Linked DNA regions of Tamandua tetradactyla. The protein of the gene in region 2 purifies or fractionates together with the protein of the main gene of each other region. This does not show direct contact. Links are inferred from orthologs where the notes say so. Each region holds a gene or a part of one and is shown on either strand. Other genes may lie near its edges.

Region 1 (7,991 bases), on a different chromosome or scaffold from region 2:
TCCAACATTGCAGAAGAAATGCTACAATTACAAAAACCACAATTTTGTAAACCCTATTGAAATAAGAGATTGAAGTGACAGACATGAATGAGTGAAAACTAGCCTATGAATTGTTGATGGAGAATTGTAAAAATAAATCACACTGATAATACCTGAACATCCAATCAATCTTAATTAACATCACTAAAAGTGAGACTACCAGACATTAGGTACTTCTTGATTTGATGTGCATCACCTCACCTATATATATTTAGCACCAACTATAAAGTATTCTTTGCCCCCAAAAAGTGAACCTGTAGCTAATCAAGCCTCTAGAGGTTGCAATCAACAATGGAGGAAATTCTGTAGGATGAGTGACTTGGTTTGTTTAATAAATAAATATCAAGTTAAAGTGGGTTGGAGAACATTTATATATTTGAAAAAGGTATGAGATATATTAATCTAATTCAAAGTGCAGACATTGTTTCATCCTTACTCAGAGAAATCAATTCAAAAAGCTAATTTTGAAACAATCAGAGAAAAATGAAGAAAACTGGATACTGGCTGAGGTTAAATTATTGTTGGTTTTGTTAGATGTGATAATGGTATTGTGGTTATGCTTTTTTTTAAAGTTCTTATTTGTTAGAGACACATAGCTACAGGTAAAATGATATTATGTTTGTGATTTGCCTTAAAATACTCCAGGAAAAAAAAAGTGAGTGTGTGTGTGAAACAAGAATGACAAAATGATGATAAATGTTGAAGTTGGGTGTTAGGAACAGAGGGGTGATAATTCTATTTCTCTGCTGTTGTGTTTGAAAATTATCAAAACAAGCTGAAAAAGCTGATTTTGTTTAAAAATGTTTTTACTGTAAAATAAACATAAGAAAGGGTCTAGAACCACTTAAAATATTGAAATACATTCTTGTGTATTAAAATCCAGAGCAAAACATAGGATATTATCATTTTCAGAAATCTCTTGGAATCCCTCCCTGATCAACTCATCCTTCTGCTTCCTCAGAAATAACTGCTATTTGGACTTTTGTTATTATTTGTCTATTTTCCTTTATCACTTTTGCTACTCACATACCTATTTTTACACAAAATACTGTTTAGTTATTTTTTTCAGTATTTGAACATAATATGAATTGAATCATGCTTTATATATTCTGTTGAATTTTTTTTGTTTTCAACATCAGTTTGGAAATAATCCATGTTCATACTCTGAACTATAGTTTATTCATTTTCACTCCTGCACTGTGTTCCATTGCATATATATATATATACACATACATATACATATATATATAAATTTTATTCATTCAAGTGTTGATAGACATTCATTTTAAGTGTATTATAAACAATGTTGTTATAAGCATTCCTGTACATTTCTCTTAGTGCACATACATAAGGGTTTCTATAAAGTGTATACCTACAAGTAGAAATACTGAGTCATAGGGTACATGCTGTTCTAGTTTGCTAGCTGCCAGAATGCAATACACCAGAAACAGAATGGTTTTTAAAAAGAGGAATTTAATAAATTGCTAGTTTACAGTTCTAAGACCGAGAAAATGTTCCAATTAAAACAAGTCTATAGAAATGCCCAATCTAAGGCATACAGGGACAGACACCTTGGTTCAAGAAGGCCAGTGAAGTTCAGGGTTTCTCTCTCAAGTGAGAAGGCACATGATGAACACAGTGAGGGTTTCTCCCTCCACTGGAAGGGCACATGGTGAGCACGGTGTCATCTGCTAGCTTTCTCTCCTGGCTTTCCTTTTCATGAAACTCCCCGGGAGGCATTTTCCTTCTTCATCTCCAAAGCACTGGCTAGTGGCCTCTCTGCTTTGTGGTGCTGCAGCATTCTCTGCTCTCTCTGAATCTCTTTCATCCTCCAGAATGTTTCCTCTTTTATAGGACTTCAGAAACTAATCAAGACCCACCCAAATGGGTGGACATGCCTCTACCTAATCTAGCTTAACAACCACTCTTGATTAAATCACATCATCAGGGAAATGATCTAATTACAGTTTCAAACATACAATACTGAATAGGGATTAGAAGAAACGGTTGCCTTTACAAAATGGGATTAGGATTAAAACATGGTTTTTCTACAGCCCATACATCATTTCAAACCAGCACACATGTAAACACAACTGAGTTTTGCACAAGCAAACACAACTAGGTAATGCACATGCAAACTCAACTGGGTAAAGACAAACTGTTTTCTTAAGTAGTGACTGTACCAATTTACTCTTCCTCCAGTAAGCAGAGTTTTCAATATTCCTCCCTCTTCCATAGTCTCACCTACTCTTAATATTTTTGGAGTTCTTATTTTCTGCCAATCAGGTGAGTGTGAAATGGTATCTTATTATTATTTTAATTTGCATTTCTCCTATTATTCATGAGTCTGAGCATCTTTTCATATGTGTTCAGGGCATTTGTGCTTCTTCCTCTATGTAACACCTACTCATTTCTTCTGATCAGTTTCTAACAGGTTGTTTCTCTTTTCCTTAATGATGCCAAGGTCTTTTTTATATAGTCTCTATATTAATCCATTTCAAAGTTATATGTATTATAAATAACTATTTGTAGCATGCTTTTTTAGTGTCTGTACAGAATCCCTCAATGAATGAACATTCTTAATTTTAATGTAGTCAAATTTATCATTCTTGTACTTTGGGTCATCTTTATTAAACAAATATTTCCCTATCTCTAGGACATAAAGATACTCCCCTATATTCTCTTCTAAAAGCTTTATAGGTTTGTTTTTCACATCTAGGTCTTTAATTTTTGTGAAATTTGTTTGTTTCTTTCCTTTTGGTACGATGTGCAGCAGTGCTCTAAATTGGGTGTTGTTTTTTATTTTTTTTTCCATATAGATAGCCAATTGACCCCATATCCTTTATTTCGCAGGTCATTCTTTCTCCACTGCTCTGTACTACAAATTCAGTCACAAATTAAATGTCTGCATATGTGTAGGTCTTACTATGTGATTTCTAAAACAGTCTGAATTTTCATCTTCCAGAAAAAACAGTAGGTAAAACAAACTATGTTTATAATTTCCCTTATCACCTAAAATCTAGAAGTTCTGAGATAGTTTTCAACTTATTTCTCTTCCCTTTGTCCTCTAAATCATATTCCAAGTCCTCCCAGACTCCTAAAACACAAGTTAATTCATGTCAGATCTCTACTTAGTTTCCATATAGGTAACTGAATCTACTGTCTGTCTATCTATCTATATGTCTGTCTGTCTATCTGGCATGATTTGCTTCCTGGCACATCCAACATGTTCTCATATAAACTTATTTTGTTTTGTCAAACATGAATGACTTAGATATTTGTCGAAATCATTTAAAGACAGTATGGGTTTTGGTTCACTGTTTCATTGTTTTAAAATATCTTACTAAACCTTTTTATTTAATGTAATCATATAAAAACCATAACTGTTTAACAAAATAATGCATTTAATTTCAGTTTAATTTACCTTGTTGCAAGAAAACTGCCTCTCAGAAAACCCCATGACAAAACAAAATAATCAAGTTCTATTTAACAACAAGTTAATTTCCATTACATTTTATTAGTTGGGCAAGAACCCCAGTTTGGGGGTGCTTTCTTTCATATTCTATCTGTACATTTCGGTATAATCTCTCCTTTTGAGCTAGAATATAAAAGTCTTCTGCAGGGAGCTTCAGGGACCAATTAATTCCATTAAATTATATCCAGTTATGTAGTGAACTGAAACACTGCTCATCTGGGGCTGTCTAGAGCTGCAACAATTAGGAGATGGAAGGAGGCAAAAAGAGAGAGATTGATTTTATATGTCACTGAAGCACACTGAAACAATATGCCAGCATGACTTTCAAAATGGCCTTAAAATATTCCAAACTCAGGGAGTTTCCTTTCTCCTGAGTGGGAGTTGACAGACTGTCTGGCAGTATTAGAAAGAGACAGAGAAAAGCTGATGTCTACATTGTGTCCTCTAATAATAACATTCTGCCTCTTTGCTGCATCTCCCCCTAGAAGGATCCATCTATTTGTTGGGACTGTGTGTGTGTGTGTGTGTGTGTGTGTGTGTGTGTGTGTGTGTGTGTGTGTGTGTGTGTGTGTCTGAGCTTTGCCTCCCCTTGTCTAGGGACATGATTTCACCTCTCACATCTGTGATAAACAAACGGAAGAAAGGACACTAACCCTCCCAAGGTCACCTAGAAAATTGGTGTTGGGGCCTGAGGGTGAGATTGGGTAGGGAGGGGGACGGAACCCAGGTGCTCTGACTACAGCTTTGTGGTTGTGCACTAAATCATTTTCTCTCCCTTGCGAAAAAAATTCATTGGGCGGGGAAGTGAGAGATTAATCAGATTTCCTCCTCTTTCCGTTTGCGGACAAAAAAACTCACGAAAGCAGAAGAGGTGTCCACTCCGCAGTTCTTAAGCTGGGTCCCAAAAAAGCACACGCTCCCCACCCCCTCCGCCCCAACCACGACCCCCCCACCCCACCCCACCCCCACCCTCACCCTCGGACACAAAGCGATCTCGGCTCCCAGGGTTTCCGCCGGTCCAACCGCGAGCCCGGGAGGTGAGGAGTGGTGAAAACTCAGCCCTCACCTCCAGCCGGTCCCGGGCTCGGCGGCGCCCAAGCCCCGCCCCCCGCCCGCCCTTCCCCCACGGCATCGGCTCGCCAACCCCTCTCCCCTTCTCCCCATCGGGCGCACCCATCCCAGATGCCGCCTGGCACCGAGCGCAGCCGCCGCCGCAGCAGCACTTTCCGCTTGTATTGATCACCTCCCAGCCCCGCTCAGCCGGCCTGCCCCAGCTGAGCGCGGCCAGCGCGCCGGCCCTTAGCAGCCCGGGGGCAGTCAGGCTCCGTGAGGAAACTCCTAGGGAGCGCGCTGTCCGGGGTGCCCTCTGCATTCTGCAGTGTCTTTCTCTCTGCCTGGAAGGAGGAGGAGGAGGAGGGGGAGGAGGAAGAGGAGGAGGAGGAGGAGGAGGAGGAGGACGTCTGGTCCGGGTTGGGAGGTGGAGCAGCGGCAGCAGCAGAAGGCGCCGCCGCCGAGGCCGCCGCCGCCGCCGCCGGAAAGGGAGAGGCAGGAGAGATCGAGACTTGGAAACCCCAAAGTGTCCGCGACCCTGCACGGCAGGCTCCCTTCCAGCTTCATGGGCAAAGTGTGGAAACAGCAGATGTACCCTCAGTACGCCACCTACTACTACCCCCAGTATCTTCAAGCGAAGGTAATGGGGCGCTGGGGGTGGGGAGAGCCCGACGAGGGGGGCTCCGGGTGCACGCGCGGCGAGCCCATGAGCCGCGGCCGGGCGCCCGGCGCGCTGCGCTGCTGCAGCAGCCCGCGGAGTCGATGGAAGGTTGCTAACTATAGCTCTGGCCTGGGCTGCGCTCAGCGCGGCGGCTTCTCGGGGAGCAGAGTGCGGGGATCGGGTTACAGAAAGCCGCGGGGGAGAGACTAGACAGGAAAGAGCCGCCAGCCCCTTCCTGGCCCGAAGCAGAGGAGGGTCGCGGAGCTGAGCGACGCCCCTCGCCGATCGCTGGCTGGTTGGTCGCCGACGCCTGGCGCCCCTCGGCAGGATCCGCTGGCGGCGCGGCTTTTCGACCCCTTCTCCCGGGCCTCGCCCAGCGAGCAGGAACTCCTCTGGTTCCCGGCCCCGCCGGGGACGCCCCTGAACCTCTCTCGCGCGCAGTGACTAGAGCTTGAGAGGGGACTGGACGTTTTCCTCCCCGCCCCTGGCCCTGCGCGTCCGCCCCTCGCCTCTGATCTTTGTGCGGTGTTGGCACTTTACCTGGTTACTGATTTCTACTTTTACGCTGGTGTTTTGGGCAGAAAAGTGGACAAAGTTCATTCAGCGTTCATTGATGTCCCTTTAATCTTCCCTGTAGCTTTTGCAAAGGAGGGACAATGGACAGGTTTCAGTGCAAAGAAAAGTGACTTTGTATTTACTTAAAAAAAAAAAAAACCACAACGCATCTTATATATTTACCACAGATCGATTTCCAATGGCCTTGGCACACTCATGGGTAACATGGCTGATGACATGTAGCCGTACAAATTGCTGTTGCCTTCTAGGGACCCTGGGTACTTTGTTAAAGGGTTTATCTTATTTTTAAAAGAAGAATTTGATGTCCCCTGAACTTAAAAAAAAAGTGTGGGTTTTTCACTACTTTGGAAGCTTCTCGACACTTTCGGAGAGCAGAACTTGGTCGCACCAGCCTTCTTCAGCAGTTAGCATCTCCTTCCACACCAGGGTGCCCTTCTAGATCACAAAAGAATCAGGTATGGATGCGGTGTGTGAACTTTATTTGAGAAGTTAATCATGCCTTGCTTGCTGGCACAAAGCATTTCTAGCCTGGTAAAAGACTCTCTGATTCAACCTTGATAAGCTTTTCTTCTCTACAATGTGTGTGGTCCATGCTGTCGTGTACCTACAACATAACTCTGTATTTATCTTGTCAGCATCCAGGTCAGAAATTTCTAGCACTCAAAGGCCTCATTTTCACACACATCTCCGTTCCCAATTTACTTTGGGAGGCCCCAAAGCAGCAAGGTGGTAACAGCAAATATTACTCATTTCTGTGTATTTCTCACTTATTTGTTTTCAGGGAATTGAGAAAAGTGCTAGTTTCTGTGGGCTACATTGTAAATTTAGTTGTTTGAAAAAATTTTGGGGAGTAATCAATGTGCTACCTTTTAGGTGCCGTTTATGTTTAATGCTACTGTTTAAATTATTCAGCACTGCGTACCTAAAGACCGGCCCACTCAACATTTTAACTATATGAATAATAAATACATACACTCAGGTGAAGAAAAGAAAACCATGTTTCTACAGGCACATTTACCTTAGTAATTTTTTATGTACCATTAGTAATTTAGAAACCAACTACATAACATTTAATATAGCTAATGCAATGCCACTTGGCCTTTTTTTTGCTCCATAAATAATTGAAGAGAGAGACAAACAGCAAGAGCCTACTCTAGTAATTAGGGTTGGATCCCAGAAAGCTTTAGGGTCCATTTTCTGAAAGAGTGCTTCCTGCATAAAGTATTTAATATTGATTGTGTTACAGTAAATGGCATTCTCAAAACATATCCTGCTGTTCGACTATGAAAATCTGAAATCCCATTACTCTGAATCTCTTTGTTTCCTGAGAAGGGTATACCTACTCACTTGACCTACATAACGGGGTGTTAAAGTTTGATAATTGAATCTGAATTCCCTCTTCTAGAAATTATCTTGATTCTGTCTCAGAGAGGGGCATCTCCTAAAAATTTAAAGTGACTAGATGCAGGTTTTAGGTACACAGTTTGGACCACCTAATCCATTTTTTCCTCCCTTACATATCTGTTGGTAACAGAGTAGTAGCGTATGTAATTTAAAAAGTAAAGACTTAGTTTGATTTATAATGAGTTTAAAAACAGATGTTACCTAATCTACCCAAAGAGTTAATAAACTGTCTTAGAATCTGTTGTCTACAGCAATCATCCATGCCTGTGTGTGCGTGTGTGTGTGTGTGTGTATGCGCACACAGGCACCTGCGCGCATGTTTTAACCTTCTTTAAATATGGGATGGAAAACATCACTCTGTTTAAAGTACAGTGGTGTGTTTGCAAGTCAGAGTTGTTTTGAAACTTCTGTTTGGAAACTGTATTAAAAACTGAGCAATGGCATGGTAGTTTAAAAAATGATGTTTAACTTAAACTTGTAATCAGGAGAGATGATGTGATTGTTTTGAAGTGACAAGGATTAAATGGATGTGGTTTCTTTTAGTTAGAAGGAATAGACGATACCAATTAAGATGGCACTTGGAAATGAGTTTTGCTACTATACTTTAAAAAACTTCTTTTCGAATCATTCTTCTTGTGTTAATGATCCAATCAGAGTCTGTTTTGACAAATTTACTAGCTAATTTTTCTTCTAACAACATAGATACTTCCACATTTTATTAAGAAACAATAACATTCAAGGGCTGTGTTAGAGCATGTGACTTAGTGTGCTTTGACAGAAAGGGAA
Region 2 (7,973 bases):
TATATAGATATCCCTTTTTAGTTTATGGTGTATTAGAGTGACTAGAGGGAAGTACCTGAAACTGTACAGCTGTGTTCCAGTAGCCTTGTTTTTTGAAGATGATTGTATAATAATAAAGCTTTTACAATGTGACTGTGTGAATGTGAAAACCTTGTGTCTGATGTTTCTTTTATCTAGGGTATGGACAGATGAGTAAAAAATATGGATAAAAAGTAAATAATAGGGAGCTCAAAGGTTAAAATAAACTGAGTAGATTGAAATACTAGTGGTCAATGAGAGGGAGAGGTAAGGCATGTATGAGTTTTTTCTTTTTTCCTTTGCTTGAGAGATGCAAATGTTCAAAAAATTGATCGTGGTGATGAATACACAACTATGTGATGATATTGTGAGCTGCTGATTGCACACCATGTATAGAATGTTTGCATGTCAAACATGTTTATGTTTGTTTGTTAAGGTTTACAATGAAAATATTTTTTTTAAAAAAGGACATTATTGGGACATAAGAAAAAACTGGAATATGGAATGTAAGCTTTATGTTAAACTTCTTGAACTTGATAACTACACTTAAGGTGATCACATAAGTAAACAGCATTGTTCACAGAAAATGTACATGGAAATACTATGTGCTCAAGGCAACCTGCTCTTAAATGTTCAGAAAATAGATGGCTTGAGATAGAGATAGAAACAGAAGGCAGGAAGGGGAGGAGGAAAGGAGGGGAGGGGAAAGGGGGTAATGAGCTAAAATTGGTAGATCTGGGTATGGGGAGGGCGGGATGGTAGAGTTCACTGTAGGGAGTTTGTATTATTGTAAATATCCTGCAAATTTGAAATTATTTCAAAATTAAAAGTTAAAAATTAAAAAAAGATCATACAGCTGGGAAGTAGAATTGAACTCAAGCATCCTCATGATCCATCCACTATAGCAGATGGCCTCCTTGTCACAAAAACTGGCGGAAGTTGCCCCCTCAAAGGCCCTGGAAACTAATAAGGCCTGTCACTTTTCCTCCTGGTAAAAGCTTGAAATTCTGTACCTCCCTGGAGGCCACCATGCCTAGGCTGCTGCCTCCTTACCCACACAGCCGATGGTCACCACTCCATCCTTGTAGCGCTCCCGGGTTGGGCCAGTTGGCTCCATCGCTGAATCAGTCTGCTGCTCCACTAGGACTGCTGGCCCATCCTCCTCTTCCTCTTCCTCCCCAGAGCCATTACCCCAGGTGGCCCCAGCCACATCCCGAGCCATCTTCTCCCGCCAGCTGCTCAGGTCCACTGCTCAGGGAAGAAGAGAAAGGAGGGTCTCTCCATGGCTGCTGTACGGTGACAGATGGTATACTGCACAGCTCTGATGTAATCAGTGCCCTGTGGAGTTGTATCATGCCCAACCTGCACAACAGTGGTCCAGAGACTCTCCCCAGCTTTTACTTGATCTCAGCCCTGGAATCGTCTGCATTTCTCTGCCTGGGTTTCTGAAGAGTACACGGAAGACTGAAGGCAGCAAGCCACTGAGGTTCCTGCCTACCCGCTGCCCTACTTGTCCCACCAAATTAGTTTGCTCCCTATTTCATCCCTTCCTCTGGCCTCTCTTGAGGGTCTATAATAGAAACGTAGACTTCTAGAAAGGTGAGCAAAATGACTCTGGATCTTGGGTCTCTCCCATGGCCCTCCTCTAAGAGACACATACCTTTCCCAGCAGTGATGGCTTCACAGGCTCTCAGCAACTGCTCTGGTCCCAAGGCCCGAGTCCATCCTCTCCCCCGCTTCCGACTCTTCTTTAAGACTGAGGTCAGAAGGCACAAAAGGATTAGCACACAGGTTTCCACATTCCATCTTTCCTACCCTCGTCAACAAGTCCATTTGTTCTCCCCTCCTCCCACACCCACCCCAACTCTCCCACATTGCTTTTTTATTGCCTACTCACCACTACTAGAGTCCTGTGGGGAGTGGGGATCCCGAGGGAAAGATGTGAAAAGGACGATGTGGAGCTGGGGGTAGTGTTGGTGGAAATAATGCTTCCAGGCAACTACAAGAGCTGGCGGGGCCAGATCCACCTTGTTCAGTACCAGCACCAGGGCCAGTCCAAGTTCTCCAGTCACATACTCATAAAGTGCTGGTGGGAAATTCACAACCTGAGATGGGTTGATAAGAGGATGGAGTCATGAGAGGTGAACTGAGGATCCTCTACCTCCAGCTCAGAGACAATCTGCTACCCTGGAGGTAGCAAATTCAGGGGTAAAAATGGTAAATCAGTCAAACTGAGGAAAGCTCTAACAGGGACTAGTAACATCTGTGCATGAGTTTCTGGCAGGCTTCCTGCAGTTCATGATTAGTGACAAAGGTGACCCAAAATCAAGATAAAGAAATTGCAACACTCAGCACACTGAGGGAAAGGCCAAGACCAGGAACAAAGGATAGAGGATGGGAGTAGAAATGTTTTCATTCATTTCACTCATGCATTCAACTTGTATAAGTCTGTACATGTGCATACAGAGTGCATGTGTATGTAAACATGTGTTTGCATTTAGGGCCTGCATGTTTCCATTAAGTGTGTGTAACTGTGTGTGTAAATATGCCTATGTGTATAGATATGCACATGCACATATGCATGTATTTGTGAGGGTGTATGTAGGAATATGTGAGTACATGTTGTTAAAGATCTCAACCTAAATGTCCCCACAGACCTCCCATTCTCTGACTGGAGGACAAGAGTGAAGTGAAAAAGCCAGGATTTGCACAAGGGTAGTTGAGCACCAGATTCTATAACCTTAATCACTACTGTAGCATTCCAGGTGATACTAAGTTCCATAGTGTCTGACGTGGCAGTGCTAGAGAAATTAAGGAAGGAGAAAAGGACATCTTTGGGTGGTGTGAAGGAAGTTCCCAGCTATCTCTACAGAATCCCCTGGGACTTTCTTTTGGTTTAGCTCTCATGAGGTAGGAGACAAGAGACATAGTTCTTTGTCAAAGGGAGTGGAGAAAGATAAAGACAGATGACCTGGGGAGGAGTGGTAAATCATGACAAAAGATGAATAAAGAATTGGTCCCTGACTGCACACATCAGCAAGTGAGAGAGAAATCTGAGAAGGAAGAAGGATGCCTCTCTGTCTCCCAACTCCTGCCTCTGACCTTTACCCCACAGAACTTTGCTACCCCCACCCACCCTTATACTCAGTACTCACAGGATGTCGGATATCAGTGATGAGCAGGACAATGTCAGACATCTCTAACACCCGCCACAGCTGCCTCCATGTCTGAAAAGACAAGAGATGGTAGAAGAGAACCTGGACCCAGAGTCCTTCTTTCTCCTGACCCCAAGCCAACTTGACCATGGGTGGACTATGCCTCACTCCTGTCTCTGTGCCCGTCTTACCTCCAGATTGTGCTCAAAGTAGCTAAGTTTTTCAGAAGTGTAAGCTCCATGAATCTTCCCAAGATACTCCTGGAAGCTCCGTTCCTCCTGGCTCATTAGTTGCTCCTTGGACATCTCATAGCTCCAAGGAGGACGTCGGGGAAAGTCCAGAACTAGGAAACCAGGAAAAAGTCCAAGTAAGTATGAGGATAGCTTCAGGACTTGAAGTGCATCCCAGACCACTCCTTCATGATGGTCAGCTCTTACCCATCCAAGCTCCTTCAATATCCAAGTGTTGAGATCTTACTCACCAGAGCCAGGCTGATAGACTTCCCTGATATCCAGCTCCAGCACCTCAGCACTGACAGGCTGTAACACTTGCTCCCGGGCAGCCTTCTTTCTCCTCTCCACCTCCTCCCGGCTGTCTCGCTCAAAATGCAGCCGGTATCTAAGAGGACAGGAACCAAGGTATCCAACACTATAGATCCTGTGACTACAAATTCCAGTCTTTTCCCCTCTGGGGTGGACAACTTCTCAAAGCTGTTCCTCAAGTTGTTCGAGTTTTCTTTCTCAATTTGCCTTCCCCCTAGTCCCTCTTTCACGACATATGCAGCCTTCCCCTATGCCTCACCCTTCTGGAAATCAAACTCTCTCCGCCCTCTCTGGAAGACAGGATTGTGGCTGGCTCAGGGGAGCTCAGCGACCCTCCACCCACCTACATACCCACCCTGGGAAAATCTGTAGCATCCCTGCCCCGCCTCCTCCACTTTCAAGTCTCCACCAGCAGCAGCCCATTTCCCACCCCCAAACCTTCGGTCCAACTTCCAGGTGGGTGGGGAAGACCTGGCCAGCCCTCGGCCCACCCTCACCGATTTGGGTCATAGCCTCGTGGACCCAGCCCCTGGGAAGGCTGCTGGTTGAGCCTGCGGATATGATGGGTCACAGACTCTCCGTCTGAGGTGTCAGTCTGTTCCTCCCGCCGCTCCCGGCTCCCGCTGCGACTGTTGGAACTGGAGCGTAGCCCATCTTGAAGCCCTGCGGGGAGGGGCTGGTGACGCTGGGGCCGGCCAGCTCTCCAGGAGCTATATGAACCCCTCCCCAGGTGGCATGGCTCCCTCTCACCCCACCCCACTTCTTTCGAGGTCCGGTAGTCCGAGCCAAGCTGCTTGGGACCCTGCCGGATGTGCGTGGGGGGGAGTCACTCTAGAGAGCTGCGGGCCTGACGCCCCGTTGGTGCTGGAGGAATTCCCCTCCCCCAACTCCCCATGCTTCTCCACCCCTTCCAGTTGTAAGAGAGGGCTGAGGTGGGGGAATCCCATCCGCAGTGGCCCGCGCGTGTCGGCGCGCGCCCACCGCCCCTCCCACGCCCCCCAGAGGTGCGGCGGGCACACCCCTCCCTACAGATGTGCGGCTCCGGAGCCCCGCCCCCTCCTCCCGCTCCTGCACTGACCTCGCTTCCGCTCCCGCTTGTCCTGCAACTGCTTCTTCTTCTGCTTCACGCTGAAGGGCTTCTTCCTCGGCATGGCCCGGACCAGCCACCTGGCCCGCCCTCAGCCGAGCTCTCGCCGCCTCAACTGACACTCTTTGGGCAGCCCCCGCCGCAAGGGCCCAGGACCCTAGAGGGGGCGGGGCTACCCGGTGACGTCAGCGGGCGGGCCCCACCGACTCGCCGTGGCAGCCCGGGAGAAAAGCGCACAGGGGGAAATTCAGTCACTGCCCTCTGGGAGCGAGGCGAGAAAATGATGTGGGGTGGGCTACCTCCACAGGAGAACTAGCGGCGCTTTGACGGCGCAGGGGCGGCAAGGCTGGAGGCGCGCGTGGGAGGATCGGGCAGACTTCGTCACGGACGCTACCAACCTGCGTTCGGAGAAGGGGGGACGCGTGTCATCACTACCTTGCGCGCCGAGGAGAAGCTACCACTCACCTGGAGGAGGGGCGGAGCGGAGGACGGGAGAGGGGCAGCGTTGCGGGAGAGGGGAACGTGGACGCGCGGAAGCTACCTTACCAACTCGGGAACTTGACCTTAGTAGAAAGCCCAGACTGAGCGTCCCAGGAAAGAAACCAGGTTGCTGGGTTACGCTGGGGGCAGGGTCAGAGGTCATGTGGGGCGGGCGGCGGCCTGAAGGGTCCTTCCTGGGCGCCGCCCTGGTGAGACCCAAATTCCTTCTAAGAACGAGGATAAGGAGCAGATTTACAGATCATGAGTGCAAACGCGAGCGAGAAAGGAACCCAAATGGGACAAGGACTTTTGGGGGGAGGTCAGAGGGCATGAAGTTGTGACTGCCGCTGTTACCATAGTAACAGGGGACCGGATGTGGCGATCACAGGGTGCGACGTCTCTTTCTTCCCAGGCCTTCTGGCTCAAAAGGCTCTCCACGCTGTGACACGCCGGGAGGAGCTGGATATGTTGGCTTTTTTCCCGCGGGAGAAGAGAGGAAAAATTTTTTTAAGACTATATAGAAACGCAGCAAAGAGAATACTCTGCATTGGCGCCATGTTTAGTAAAGACGAAGGGAGGCAGTTTACGTGAGAATGGAGCTACAGTAAAGGTTCCCTGCAGCCTTCCGGAAGTGAAATGGCGGGAGCCTCATCCTCGCTGTCCACCAACCTTCCCGGAAGCGGAAACAGAATCTTAGTGTGCCCCTTTCTCACTGCCCTCCAAATCCCGCTGCAGCCATTGCCGCAGCCACGATGCCGAAGCGAAAGAAGCAGAATCAGCAGCAGCCACACCCGCCACAGACCCCACTGCCAGAGCGAGACGAGACTGGAGACGAGGAGGACGGGAGTCCTATCGGTGAGGAGCCCAGAAGGGGTGTTGCACATGTCAGTCAACGCGTCTGGGCGAGGGGCAATAGAATGACACCAGTTGGGGAGGGGGGTGGGCGTCTAACGGAAGGAGGAAGGTTGCAAGCATTGAGGTAGAGGTTCTATCCGGGATAGAACCCTGAATGAGTTCTCGTATTTGAACCTTAAACCTCAGTTCGGCCCACAAACCTTTCTAGGGAGGGCAAGGGAGGAGAGGATAAAGAATTTTTGTGCGCAGCCGCAATACAAGGAGTGAGAGGGGTTGTACAGAGGTTGCAAATTTAGATGAATGGGAAAATAATTTGTGAACACACTTTCACAATTGGAAGTGAAAGTTTGGCCTTCTCTGAAGGGGTGGGGGGGTGCATGGGCGGGGAGGAGAAGACAACCACCTGATTGGCCAACAGTTTAAGGCGAGTGACTGGATTACCTCTGGAAGAATTGGTGATGTTTTGGATAGCAACATTATAAGGGAAAGACATCCCCCAGAGATGCCTCTACGTTTTGCAAATCCTGAACAAGCATTGCAGTGGCAGATAGATAAGATGAGAACTCTGCAACACTGCTGAGAATGTACCTAGTTTTAACAGTTGGAGTAGGAAATGTGTACTGAAGAGAAACATAGAAGAACAGGATCATCAGTCCTTTATTTAGTCCATTCTGATGACCATATTTTCATGTCTACTCTCAGGACCACCTAGCCTTCTGGGCACTCCCCCCATGGCCAATGGAAAGCCTGGTGACCCCAAGTCAGGTGAGAAGGAAGGGGATCTAATTCTGGATTAAACCCTGGAGAAAAGGGAGGGAGTAAAACCGGGAGTGAGAGTGGGGACTTAAAATAAAAAGATCAAGGCTTCCATACCTAAATAAATGGAGAAGTTTTGTATATTCATAGAGTAGAAAAGTGATCATTGTAAAAATGTCGGTTCTTTCCAAATAGATTTATAGATTCAGTGCCTTCCTAGTCAGAATTCTTAGATTTTTTTTTGTGGAAATAAACATTCTTTATTTTTGTATGGCAATGCAAAGAGTCAGAGTGAGAAACTGCCAAGACAATCTTGAAGAATAGTGGGAGGGCTTACACTGAATGTCAAGATTTATTGTCAAGATTATTTATGCCACTGTGACATTAGCACATTGACAGGCATATAAGTCAAAAGAACAGCATAGAGAATCCAGTAATAGGTCTGCACATATGAACTTAATTTATGCAGGGGACACTGAAATGCAGTCTTTTCAGTAAATGATGCTGAATCAATTGGTTGTTTATGTGAGGTAGAAATGAAAACTTGACCTCCTATCATACCATACACAAAAATCAATTCCATGTGGATTGCAGAGCAAAGTGTGAAAAATAAAATAATACTTCTAGAAGACAGACTCATATTAATTATCAAAATAAGACTGATCAATTGAATTACATTAAAAGATGTAGGCTTCTGTTCATTAAATGACACTATTAAGAATTTAAAAGGGGACCATAGAGGAGAGAAGATATTTGTAACTTATATAACCGTAAAGAGAATATATGTTGAATATATAAAGAATTCTTCCAGATAACTAGTTAGGGAAAGGGCAAAAAATCAGAATAATCATCTTCTAAAAGAGGAGATCTAAATGCCCAATAAACATGTGAGCAAGTTCTTAACATCATAAGTCATTAGATTAATGCAAGTTAAAGACACACCACTTTTCATACTTACCAGAACGGCTACAATGAGAAAAGACTGACAATACCAAGTGTTGTCTAGGATACAGAACGATTGCTGGTGGGAGTGTAAATTAGTGCAACCACTTTGAGATAAAAAAATGTTTGACATCTGTT
Region 3 (6,933 bases), on a different chromosome or scaffold from region 2:
TTGTGCCATATCTTCCTAAAATCTGAATCTCAAAACATATATGGCCCAGGTGTTTAGTTAAAGGATTGTGGCTATGTGCTGTATTTGTGTTTTCAAGTGCAATATTTCACCTACATAGTGAGAATAATACAGATATACAATAGGTACAGGTATACTATACCTACTGTAATATAGGTAAGCTCAGCACCTACTAACATTCCAGTACTAGCTCTAGTATGCTCAAAACACACATTCACCTAAGCTAAATTCCATGCCTCAGTAACGTATCACTGTTGTGAGCATTACATACAAGGTATTCATTCCTACATTAGCTCCTTTCATTCTAGGAGCTTTCTACTCATTCCTACGTAAGTTATATCTGTATGTATCCATGTGTCCACATGTGTGTACACATATAAAATTAATAATATATTTACTCAAAGTTTTATTTTCCCTTTTCTTAACCTAAAAACAAATAAGCTAAAATTTTCTTCATATCAGTGGTTCTAAACTGGGACGATTTTGCCCTCAAGGGGACATTTGGAAACGTCTGGAGGCATTTTAGGTTGCCACAACTGGGAATGGGGGTGTTACTGTCATCTTCTGGGTAGAAGCAGATGTGCTGCTAAAAATCCTACAATGCACAGGAAAACCCAAACAACAAAGAATTACACAGCCCAAAATATCAATTGTGCAAAACTGAGAAAGTATCAAGCCCATCAATCATCCCTATTCCCAAAATGAAATAACTGCACAGAATATTAAGAGTTCTTACATTTGGATGGCTCAACTGACTTTTTTCCCACATGGAGCAGTGACACCAAAATATATAAATATATATATTGTTTACTTCCATAGTACTTTATTTCTAATCATCAGACTCTTGACTTAGTAGAAAAGAAAACAATAAATGTGTTCTAAAGCTTACATTACATTCAGTAACATTAAAAGAGTTAAGTTCTGTAAATAATTGTAGTTTTCTGTCCAACCATTATTTAAAAAGGAGATATTTAGTGTCTATCAAAAAGGAAAATACTTTTCTCAAGCAAGCAACTTAATTTCTAAACTATTTTTGCTTAAATTCAAAATTTTGCCTTATTTTTGTTATTAGTATTATTATTGCCCTTAGCAAAAAAGAGTTAGAGAAGGGGATAGGAGGAAGAGAGAGCTGAACTAGGTACAGACCTAAATCAGTTTATCTACATACAATATAATTAAGACTGTGAATCTAAAACAATAACTATTTAAATGCATTTAGATATATTTCTTTGTTATTTTCGCTTACCCTTTACTTTTAGAGACCAAACCAAGAGACTGACTCAGTCGATGAATAAAAGCTCTTTCAGTACTGGTCAAAGAAGAAGGAAATTCCATTTCTACAAGAAAAAAAAAAAACACACAAATTAGCCAATACCATTTCTGAATAGTTAATTTTCTTTCAATGCACTTCAATACTTACACACATGTAAAATATGAGGAAAAAAACCATAAAAGCATACAATCACATTTATTCTTACACAATTCATGGATGGGTAGATATTAATTCAGTAACTACTGAATGGCTACTAGAACTCGGATATTAATAAAAAGGCTTCCACATATTAAATCTAAATGCGATAAAAGACTCTGGTGTTCATCACAGATTACTCCTCTTAGCTGTGCTGGAACCTTGACTTAATATAACGACTGATGGGCATATTTCACCATTTTAAATAAGCTCTTGCTTAATTAACAAAATGTTCATTTCCCTCAATGATGATGTAAGTTTAAGCATTGTAAACGTTCAACATCAAACTCCATTTTCTTTGCTTTTGAAATTATAGGACTCATATTTCACTATTTTAGACCGACTATTTTGTTGTTATATATTGCTGAGACTTTCATCCTTCTTTAAAGTAAATTCAAAATCATTCTGTCCACTTTGTTTGGACAGTGCGCCTCCAGAGTAAGGAGTCCCCTGTTTAAACCAGCAGATGAAGGGGCACTCAGTGTACGATTGTACAGATCACCTCAGGTCGGCTGCTGATTGTGTATTATGTGACCCAAGTCAAGTAGCTCTCTAATTCTAAGAACCGTGGAAGACGCTTTGTATGCCGCAGCAAGTTAGTTGTGTTTAGCGAAATGTTTCTAAGATTTGAACAAAGCTCTACACATTGCCAGATCATTTATTTATACCTGGATTCCTTTTGTTCTAAAAGAGCCTCACTTAAGGCTATAACTCCCTTTTGTTTAAAAAGAAAAGAAGATGGGGGGGGTTACCAATACCTAAAAACGGCGGCTTAACCGCCCGAGGCCTCCGAAGGGCCTCTTCCTGAGGAAAGAAATGCCTCCAGGATGGGTAGCAACCTGATCTTTCCATCTTCTCCTGCCAGGCAGGTACCCTGATCCGCAGGACATGGTGCGGTTCTTCACATCCCACAAGAGGGCTAACAACCGCGGTCCAGGCCCCCGACCTAGCTGGAGCTGGGAGGTCACCGGCTCACTCGGGTGGATTCGGCTGCGCGGCCCAGACTCATCCTCCCTCCTCTGAGGCCGGACGGGAGCAGCCGGCTCTCTCCGTAGGTTCGGACTTGTGGGGGGACGCCAGCCAGCAGGGTGCCTGTCAGGAACCTCACCTCTCTGGTCCCCGTATCGGAAGCGCTCCAGGGCGATATTGACTGCGATCTTCACCTCCTCATCGATTCGAATGTCTTTCAGCCCCTTGGCCCGGCCGCCGCCCCCAGGCCCACACTGCGAGGGGCCACCCACTCCGCCGCCGCCGCCGCCGCCGCCACCGGGAGCCGGGGGCCGCGGGGAGACGCTGCTCGGCCTAGACATGGTCCTGAGGAGATTTTCTCCCCGCGAAGAAGCGGCTCTGGCCTGCTTGCTGGCGGCCGACAGGGACAGTGGGGCTCCGGGGTCAACGCCCGGCCGGACGGCTTCGCAGACAGCCTGTGGCGGTCTGGGTGAACGACAAAGCCGCGGGTCTGCACAGCTGAGGAAGTACCGACGCAGCTGAAGCACCGGCTAGACCCGGAGCGCGGGCGTGATGACGTCACCAGGACCGCCGGCGCACGTGACCTCAGCGTGTCGCCTGCCCCTTTCCTCTCGGCCTTGTCACACCAAGCTAATGCTGACCGTTCTCCCCTTTCGTGGGCTCTCGTTCATTTTTTAATTAACTTATTTTGTTTAATCCTTCATTCTTTCAGTAACCACGCATGCGCTCCTATGTGCCCAGCACTTTGCTAGGCCTTAGATATACTTTGGGAAACAAGACAGACAAAATCCTTGCCCTCAGAGAATTCATATTATGGTGGGCGTAGGGCTACCAAATTTAGCCCATAACAATACAGGATGGCCAGTTGATTTGAATCTCATATAAACAAGGAATACAAAAAAAAAAAGGAATACATTTTTTGTGTATTTCCCATGCAATATTTGGCACATACATACACTAAAAATTTATTTGTTGTGTATCTGAAATTCAAATTCAACTGGGCATCTGCATTTCATCTGGCAAACCTAAACAGGGGTGACAGACAATAAACAAGGAAATCATTAAATGATAGTGATAAATGCTATATGATGCGATGGAATGAAGAGGTGCGACCCTTTAGTTTGTGTAATCGGGAAAGTTTATGAGTCCTTCCATTTGCTTATATGCAATCCCACTAACATAAACCTAATCCTAGCCACCCTAAACTGCTTCCACTCTGGTATTCTGTGATCCATTCATCACAGAGCAACCAGAGTTTTCTCTTAAAGATAAACAATCTGTAGGACCACACATCTCACATAAAGTTGTCCAGTGGCTCCCTAGCGCTACAAGAACAAACACTGAGCTCCTTACTTCAAGACTATACCTAAACTGGCGCTAGCCTACCTCCATGAGCACATTCCTTTCCACTTTTATTGTCACTTACAATGCTCAGATGCAAAATTTCTTTCTGTTCGTTAACCACACCAAGCCCACTACCATCAAGGGATCTTTCTACTTGCATACTTTCCTCCTGCAAAGGAAAATCTTCATCCCAGAACTTTACCTAGATGTCCGTTTCTTATAATCTAAAGTGGGATCCTAGTCCTTGCCTAGACAGGCTGTCTCATATTAACCTGTTATCGCTTACCAGTTTCAATATTTTTTTTCTCTTCCCACTAGAATATAAGCTCCTTAATTTATCTTGTCATTGTATCATCAGCAACTAGAACCTCATACGCCTGCAAAAAAAATATTTATTTGTAGGCCATATTTTATTATCTGGAATTAAGATTAAGAATCTGCCTCCAGAAAGCTTTCATCATAATCTTTGAGGTCCTAATCTCTGATTGGCTACCACTACTACAAAGAATTCTGGACAAGCAGAAATAGGTCCTGGTGTGGTCACCAATGAATTCTATGAACGTTTATTACAAGCTTGATCTCTGTGTATCCAAATTTCTTCAACTGTGCGAAAATAATACCTGCCATTTATTAAATTCCCAGGGGCATTGTCTTTATTTTCCCTAATCCTAACAAAAGCATATGAAGTTGTTATATTACCCTGTGATACAAATGAGGAAGCTGAGGCTAAATGAGGTTAAACATATTATTTAAAGCCACCCTGTTGGTAATTACTGGCGTAGGGATGTAAACTAGCCCCAGCTGATCATGAAGCCCAGCTTCATTCCAGGACAAAACATAGAAGGAAAATGATATTTGTATGCACCAAATATATTGTGATTAAACGGAAAACATTTTGCACAGTGTCAGCCACATATTTCTTTCAATTCTCACTCCACCACATCTGAGTTCCACCATTTATTGGCCCCATCAATTTCTTACCTTTGTGGCTTAAGCTACTTACTTATACCCTCAGAGATTCCATTTTCTCCTCTATTAATGAGTATATTTAACACTCACTTCATGGATATATATATATGTGAATATAACATAATAGATGTTAAGTACCTAGCACTCACAGAATAATATTTCCTGCCTTCTTACCTTGCTCTTTGGATAAATGTCTAAATGTTTGTATCCCTAGTGCCATGACATGTTAATTGAAATGAAAGAGAATAATGACTTCTTGAAGTTGCATAGCCATAAAATACAATCTTGATCATATTCTACATTCTCTAATATTTTGAAATGCCGTTGGAACTTTCTGGGTGCTTAGAGTGATACACTACAATTCTACTTTTTACATGTGTTTCAGAGAAAAATTGAAGATAGGGAAAGCACAGAATATTTATAAATTATTTCAAGCTATCTTTAGCATCAAACAGACCTAAGACTTGAATTCAGTTTCCCCACTAGTAAAATGTGTAGGATAAAAACACCTGCATCCCAGGATTATTATGCAGTTTAAATTAGATTAAATTACCTTTATGTAGATGAAATCCTTATTAAAATTCCTGGCTTAACCCTTAGCATGCAATACTAGTTAGGATGTTTTTGGCTTCAGGCTACAGAAAAGCCAAGCAAAATTGGCCCCAAAATAAAGCTGTTCATCATCTCATATAATAAGAAGCCTAACGTAGGGTTGTTCCAGTACAACAATGCCCTCAATGAACTAAGATCTTTCCAGTTTACTGCTCTCCCATTCTTAGAGTGTCCACCATACACACTTTTATCAGGAGCCCCAAGAAATCCCATCATCACACAGCACCAAGTTGTGTGAGCACAACTACAAAAAAAAAAAAAAAAAAAATGCATTCCCTTCAGGTGTTTCTTTTTAAGAGAGTGAAAACTTTTTCCAGAAGTCCTGCAGTAAACATTTCTCATGTCTCTTAGCCAGAACATGCCTAACTCTCAACCAATCACTCTCAAAGAGAAAGAGAATTACCATAGGAAGTGTGGTCTTTTCTGAAGCAGTTGGTCACCTAGGGGAGTTCTCATAGCAAGTAATAAGGGATGGCAAATAAGCATGTGAAAAGATTTTCACATCATTAGCCATTAGGGAAGAGCAAAGTAAAACCAAAATGAGATAGTTCTGTGTACTGTCTCATTTTGACTAAAATAAAAAATAGTGATAATGCCAAATGCTGGCATTTATGAATGAACTGGGTCACCCATACATTGCTAGTGGGAATGTAAAATAGTATAGCCATTCTGGAAAAGAGTATGGCAGGGTTTTTTTACAAAACTGTAAAAAAATCCAGTAATAGCACTCTGCGCCCTTGGGCATTTGCTATGTAAATATTCATAGCAGTTTATTTGTAATAGCTAAAAAATGGAAACAACTCAAATGTCCTTCAATGGGTGAATGGGTTAATAAACAAATGTACATCCATACCACGGCCTGCTACTCAGCAATAAGAAGAACAAGCTACTGATACATGCAACAATTTGAATACCTCTCAAGGAAATTATGCTGACTGAAAAAGCCAATATCAAAATATTGCAAACTGTGTGACTCCATTTGTATATTCTTAGAATAAAAAAAATTATAGAGGCTGAGGAACTGAGGGGCAGAAAGCTAGAGCCTGGCGCAAAGGTGCGGAGTCCACAGGAGTGCCCAGACAGGAGCTGGGGAATAGGAAGTAAGCCAGACTGCATTCCTTGGGCACACTGCCCTCACTAGCGCAGCCCCATGACTGGCAACTCACCTTACACCTCACGCACCCAAACCCCATCACCCGCTCCCATTCCCTGCACTCCAGGCACCCCCACCCCATGAACCCCCAGTGCACGTAACTGCACTACACCCCCACCCCAAGTGCAGCCTTCTGAGCACTAGCTCCCCCTCCCTGTTCCCTGCAGGCTATTGCCATAACCTCCATACACAGGCTACCCCTGCCCTCCTGACCCCATGCCCATAGTATACAGCACAGCCTCACCCATCCCAGCCTGAGCTCCGCACATCAGTCTATGGTACTCCTAGGCCCACGCATGTGCACGGACCCCCAATCACGTCTTTCAGCTCTGAGAGCCATACCTCACAGCAGTACTAGAAATGCACATGTGCATGGCCCTCAGCCACACTTCCCAGCTCT

Evidence for each region. Proteins that work in one complex are often made in the same cells at the same time.
Region 1: the proteins of PRR3 (region 2) and RBMS1 purify together in Homo sapiens (co-immunoprecipitation; 3 studies listed by BioGRID and IntAct, with this or other methods). This does not show direct contact. The link is inferred for Tamandua tetradactyla from reciprocal best matches to the Homo sapiens genes PRR3 and RBMS1.
Region 3: the proteins of PRR3 (region 2) and YTHDC2 purify together in Homo sapiens (co-immunoprecipitation; 3 studies listed by BioGRID and IntAct, with this or other methods). This does not show direct contact. The link is inferred for Tamandua tetradactyla from reciprocal best matches to the Homo sapiens genes PRR3 and YTHDC2.

Annotation. Positions count from the first base shown.
Region 1 is NC_135329.1:131,233,706-131,241,696, reverse strand, and holds the start of RBMS1 (RNA-binding motif, single-stranded-interacting protein 1), read left to right. Parts: upstream 1-4,989; 5' UTR 4,990-5,129; coding exon 5,130-5,204; intron 5,205-7,991.
Region 2 is NC_135331.1:85,445,609-85,453,581, forward strand, and holds the start of PRR3 (proline-rich protein 3), read left to right. Parts: upstream 1-4,965; 5' UTR 4,966-5,408; exon of another isoform or gene 5,409-5,694; 5' UTR 5,695-6,034; coding exon 6,035-6,137; intron 6,138-6,839; coding exon 6,840-6,902; intron 6,903-7,973. Other genes in the region: GNL1 (guanine nucleotide-binding protein-like 1), read right to left, coding at 1,072-1,269, 1,679-1,774, 1,916-2,123, 3,174-3,245, 3,365-3,516, 3,655-3,791, 4,213-4,378, 4,794-4,866.
Region 3 is NC_135347.1:16,088,691-16,095,623, forward strand, and holds the start of YTHDC2 (3'-5' RNA helicase YTHDC2), read right to left. Parts: upstream 3,003-6,933; 5' UTR 2,797-3,002; coding exon 2,595-2,796; intron 2,265-2,594; exon of another isoform or gene 2,245-2,264; intron 1,356-2,244; coding exon 1,265-1,355; intron 1-1,264. UniProt on the Homo sapiens protein: 3'-5' RNA helicase that plays a key role in the male and female germline by promoting transition from mitotic to meiotic divisions in stem cells.